Kluyveromyces lactis: one gene and its partner. The protein of the gene in region 2 interacts with the protein of the main gene of each other region in a pairwise test. Links are inferred from orthologs where the notes say so. Each region holds a gene or a part of one and is shown on either strand. Other genes may lie near its edges.

The links.
Region 1: the proteins of RPN14 (region 2) and NAS6 interact in binary tests that used the Saccharomyces cerevisiae proteins (3 or more experiments, as listed by UniProt). The link is inferred for Kluyveromyces lactis from reciprocal best matches to the Saccharomyces cerevisiae genes RPN14 and NAS6.

The regions. Positions count from the first base shown.
Region 1 is NC_006041.1:1,405,803-1,408,661, forward strand, and holds NAS6 (Nas6p), read right to left. Parts: upstream 1,393-2,859; coding exon 700-1,392; downstream 1-699. Other genes in the region: PHO81 (Pho81p), read left to right, coding at 1-584; prohibitin subunit PHB2, read left to right, coding at 1,991-2,859. UniProt on the Saccharomyces cerevisiae protein: Acts as a chaperone during the assembly of the 26S proteasome, specifically of the 19S regulatory complex (RC) and appears to have an overlapping role with RPN14.
Region 2 is NC_006037.1:775,706-778,969, forward strand, and holds RPN14 (Rpn14p), read left to right. Parts: upstream 1-1,254; coding exon 1,255-2,526; downstream 2,527-3,264. Other genes in the region: replication factor A subunit protein RFA1, read right to left, coding at 1-802; Golgi transport complex subunit COG7, read left to right, coding at 2,829-3,264. UniProt on the Saccharomyces cerevisiae protein: Acts as a regulatory subunit of the 26 proteasome which is involved in the ATP-dependent degradation of ubiquitinated proteins.

The DNA of each region.
Region 1 (2,859 bases), on a different chromosome or scaffold from region 2:
TCCCAACAGAATCTGAGATACAATCTATACCAATGAAAGTTTCTCCTAGATACAATTTGAATTGTTTCATAGAAACAGTCTTATCTACTACGTTTGAACATGTAAGGAAACTTCGTCAAATGGGATCGACGAGATCAATAGTATTCTCTTCAACAAATCCAAGAGTTTGCTCTATCTTGAATTGGAAGCAACCTAATTTCCCTGTGTTGTTCGATATGAATGTTATTTCCGAGAATAGTGATGGTGATTTGGTGAAAATTACATCTAATGACCTAGCGTCCATGGCACTCGATACTAAAGACATTATTTATGGTGACCCAGGTACCATGTCCATAAAGGATGCTGTTATTTTTGCTAACAACAATAACTTGTTGGGAATGATCCTTCCTATAAATTTGTTGGATATAACCCTACAGTTGGTTGATCAAGTTCTTGGCCATGGTTTATTTTTGATTGGTTCTACCAATGGAACAATCAGTGAACATGAACAACGTGACCTTGGTATTAATGGTATTCAATATAAGGAAGAATTGGTCATCCATGAAAACTCCGAAACTGCTGATAGGGAAGCCAATTTTATTTAATCTTGCATTTTGTTTTTTTAGAATCTTCTACACATCAATCGTTATAAGCTCAATTTAATGACTGTTTCAGGTATATAAGCATACATTAACTACCAGCCCCTTCGAATTGGATAAATCATTCAACCTTTGACAAAAAGTAATCCTTCACTTTTGCGTCAACACAGATTTTATCTATGGACAAGTCATCGTTGTCGGTTTCTCCTTCCCATAATGCATGATACTTGTTGACCAACGTGACAGCAACATCGCCGTGACCTTCTGCCAAAGCATGGAACAAAGGAGACCATCCGTTTTTATCCTTTATATTAACAGGAGAGTTTTTATCGCATAATATCGACACAATTCCCACTGAACCGGAAGCTGCAGCTCTATGCAAAGGCAATTGACCAAGGCCATCTTTAATTCTCACTGAAGCTCCTCTTTCCACTAAAAGTTGAACCACATTTAAATGCTTCTTAGAGCAAGCTAAATGTAAAGCAGTGATCCCATTATTAGCCTGTAGATCAAGGTTTGGTTCAACAGTATGATTAAGTAACTTTTCAAGAATAGTAACGCTACCGATAGAACTAGCAATGTGTACCGGAGACCAACCAGATTCATCCAAAATAGTGTCCAAATCAATTTTCTTCATATAGGACAACAATATATCAATTATGTTGTCTTGCTGGAATGATACTGCCCAGTGCAAAGGATATCGGCCATCATCATCTTTAACCTTCACTGCGCCCGGAAACTCACTTAATATCTGTTGAACCTTTTCGGTATCTCCGTTCATACACGCAGCATGTAACAAAAAGTCAGCACCCATAGTTTGAATTGTTTATTGTGCTTTCAATGTTTTACAAATACACTGATCCCAGGACAGCTCTTGTATGGTTCTGACCAACCAACGCTTGTATGAAATAAGCTGTCTTTAAGTTGAAACCCTTTTTAAAGGGTTTTTACCTCATATCAAAGAAATAAGAAACGGCAGTGGAAAGACTTGGTACACCTGGACGAAATCTGGGTACACATTTGGAAAGCTGACAGGTTTTAAGTACTAAATAGGATACTTATGGGTCTCAGATAACATTCAACTTCCCGGTGCCTGGCTATACCACCATGAGCAGAGGCTAGAGTGTTGATGTTTTATCACGTGATCCGTGCATTGTGACAAACATATTTTCGGGGATGTCGCCCCTTCTCAGATGTTAAGTGGCAAAGTGAGAAATGAGCAACTCAGTTCGTTGTTTGAAATTGCTTAAAGGGAAAGGGTTCAAGCAAAGGAACTAGGAGGTTACGACAATCGCAGCAGTAATATTATATATATAACCGCACATTGCCCTTTTCTGATTGGCTGTAAATTTGAAACAAAAGCTGTGTTTTTACCCCCCGCAAAGTTATTATAATTTAATCAAAAGAACGCAATGAACAGATATCCAGGTGATTTTGGTAAGTTTGCCAGATCTGTACAAAGACAATTGGCTCGTGCACAACAATCAGGTGGTAAATATCCTTCCGGACAGCCTCCTCGTGGTGCCTTTGGGGCTTTAGGTGGTTTATTTTTGTTGATTGGTGGTGGATTTTTGGCTAACGAAGCTCTTTTCAACGTTGATGGTGGTCACCGTGCCATTGTTTATTCACGTATCAACGGTGTTCAACCGAGAATTTACCCAGAAGGTACTCATTTTATCATTCCATGGGTTGAAAACCCGGTCGTCTACGATGTGCGTGCCAAGCCAAGAAATGTATCGTCATTGACCGGTACTAAGGATTTACAGATGGTTAACATCACCTGTAGAGTGCTATCCAGACCTAACGTAGAGAATTTACCAATGATTTACCGTACTCTCGGTGTTGATTACGATGAAAGAGTGCTTCCCAGTATCGTGAATGAAGTTTTGAAGGCGGTGGTTGCCCAATTTAATGCTTCTCAATTGATTACCCAAAGAGAACGTGTCTCTAGATTGATTAGGGAAAACTTGGTGCGTCGTGCTAAGCATTTCAATATCATGTTGGATGATGTCTCCATCACTTACATGACTTTCTCTCCGGAATTCACAAACTCTGTTGAAGCCAAACAAATTGCTCAACAAGACGCTCAAAAGGCTGCTTTCGTCGTGGATAAGGCCACTCAAGAAAAGCAAGGTATGATCGTTAAGGCACAAGGTGAGGCCAAATCTGCTGAATTGATTGGTGAAGCCATCAAGAAAAGTAAAGATTACGTGGAATTGAAGAGATTAGATACTGCTAGAGAAATTGCTTCTATCTTATCCAGATCTCCAAACAAGGTTAT
Region 2 (3,264 bases):
GTTGCACTCTAGCCTTTGATACAAAATAAGCTTTACCCTCCTGTAAAATCTCGTTAAATTTGATCGCATTATCGTTGAACGCAGTGGCTCTAATTTCACCAGAAGAATCCAACAAATTCACATTCAAGATATGGCCCTCACCTCTATTATTTTGCCACTTCTTCAAATCACCTTTGAAAGAAACTCTGGCCTTTATGGTCCAGTTGTTCTGATATGGAGAAATTTGTTCAATGGCAAAAATAGGCCTTGAATTTTGGGATGACCCATTATTCGATTTTGCCTTGGGCACAGAACGTGGTTGTGGGGCTGGAATGTTGCTGGTACTGGTAGGAGCCATCTTAGAAGTCATAGACGATGTAGCAGACGCAGCTGCCGATGCAGCCTCGGATGCTACGGCCCCGTTATCAGTCAAAGTCACCAACTCATTCATATGTTCACCCAAATAAGCATCGACAAATTCTGTAGCATTATTAAACAAATCTAACCCACGGCTAACAATCTCTATCTCATCTACTAACAACACAAACTTCTTCTTCTCTTTGATCACTGCGCATTCCGCGTTCAACACTTTGAAAACATCCCCTCTTTCTAATTCTGCCTGTTGAGCCGCCTCTGCAGCTTTGTTCCTCAAAAGAGCCTTGACATGGTATTTTCCATCGTTGATGAGAATCAAATTCTTTTTAGCATTAGTCTCAGTCTTCTTGGTTTGAACAACCTGGTAAATACCGCCGGTAGGATTGTTGTACCTCTCCGGAATACGGAAAATATCCAATAAATCACCTTCCAATAGTTGAACACCCATCTTCTTCTACCTATTTTAAAGACAAATAGCAGAACAAATCCGTTACTTGACTCGACTTGGCCTGGGTTTCACCTGTAGCTAATCTATAACTGACCCTGAGATGGCGTTGTTTATTTACAGTTCGCCTTTATATACTCTGCGGAAATTCGAAAATTTTTCGTTGAACCAAAATAAAAGGGATAAAATCGAGGAAATTGCTTTCGCGTTTACGCGTCTTACACGTGAGTATCACATGACTATCTTTCAGGTGGTTATTCACGTGACTTTGGGTTTTTTGAGCATCAGGTACGTATTACCTTCATTGATGATGAACAACTTAAACACCAGCAGTGGATTTCTGATTTATGGATTTTGAGCAATAATGTCAGCAGGTTTCCTGTGGATATCAACTGTCCAAACAATTTGCCCGTTTTACTGTATACCTTCCTGTTATTTTCCCTTAGTTAAATATAATGAGAGTTGAGGAATGGAACATTTGCAGTGAGTTTGATGATATTCTTGATGATGTGAGAGGAGAAAAGGTTGCCAGCGATAAGATATGGGTATCCAGGAGCAGTGGTGAGCCATTATACGATTTGGAATTTGATGTACGGTTAGATTCCAGGGGTAATGTTGGGTTTCATAATGCGAATACTTCTGATAAAATTTCCTTTCAAAGGGTAAGGCCACATTTATATGAATTGACAGGACCTGATGCGACAGCAGGACATTTAGCTTCGTTTCAAAGTCCGAAAAAACGGTTCCAACTGCCTTCTGATATTGGAGCTGTTGATTTAACAAGTATAGATATCACGAACGTGTTTGACCCCGAGATACGTTTGGTTTGTGGTGATACGAATGGTGGCATATATGTGCTACGGAAGAACACCGGTACCAATTATAGCGGTCCATTACAAGAAGTGATAAAGTTACCGGAAGCGCACGCTAGTCACATCACCAAGACCCAATTTTTCCCTAACGGCCATGGATTCTTAAGCAGTAGTATCGATATGCGCTTGAAGATTTGGGATGCTTCAACCGGTACTGAGCTCAGAACTTTCATAGGTCATACTCGGTCAGTCAACGATTTTGCCATGGTCGATAGAGGTAGAAACTTCGTCTCTGCAAGTTCGGATGGATCATTAAAACTATGGGAATGCTCAACTTCAGCATGTGTCTTTACGCTCAATTCAAACGATGGCATAAATTGTATTTCATTGGCCAATTACCAGGGAAATCCAGCGACCACATCGTACAATGCATTGGACCATAGCAACGAATACAATACTGAGGGGAAAGCTGTATTTGCTGGACACGACTCTGGTATCATCACGTTTCATGATATCTATAACAGAAAGAAGATATTGGATATTTTACCGGCAAGTAAATCTGCATGTGTCACTCTAACGAGCCAGCACATTGCAGGTGATGACCATTACCTATTTGCTGGCTATTCGGATGGTACGATAGTATCATGGGATACTCGTAACGTTTCCAAACCGGTGGAGACGCTCCAGGTAAATGATAATGATTCTATCTCAAGATTATTCTTGGCACATAACACGTTGAACGTTTCTAGTGGGGTCCAATTTGCTTTCAATGTACCTGTTTTGGACGGGAAATTCAATTTCAATAAGCTTACACATCTAATTCGTCCTTATGATGAAGTGACTGATTTCTGTGTTGATGAATCACATCAAAATGTTTGGTGCGTCGGAAAAAATGGTATGCTATTGAAATACTGATTTGTCGTCCAGTCTAAAAGAGAAGCAATAGAATTGTAAATAGAATTATACCCATATATAGTCCAATAAATTATCCATACGTTGCTCTCATCAATGTGTATAGTAATATCTGCTTTGATATTGTATCCTTCTCTTTTAAACCTTTCTTACTGTGCATCTGAAGGCACCAAAAATCATCTTGAAATCTTAACATCAAAATGAAGAAGTTAACCTTCTACCTCTAAATATGATGATCATGAAACACCCAAGTAAGCCACCAAATCACCTTTGAAGGACGATATAGCACTATAATTTCCTACACGATGAGTAGAAGGATATCTGGTGCTAATGACCCTTTGCTAGACATGTTTTTCGATGATGATTTTGTACCTCAAGCATTCGTCGACATATTGTTATCATCTTTCCAGACAAGCCAATTAGAAGAATTGAAGACCAATTGCTCTAGTCTACTTTCAAAAATGGACTATTACAGTGGGCATATTACAAAAGAACTTGAGTCCACTATTCAGGTGCTTCAGAAGCCTGCTGAACTTATTATATACGCAGCAAATGAGGAACAGCAAGGAACAACAAAACTAGAGTATTATTTGGATACTCTAGCGAATAGTGTGAACTTATTAGAGACAGACGTTAAAGCTATTGATAAACAATTAGAAGAGCTGAATTCTAAATATGAAGACAGTAATGAGGTAACTGAAACCTTATCAAAGCTTACAGCAGCTAAAGAGCATCTGGTAA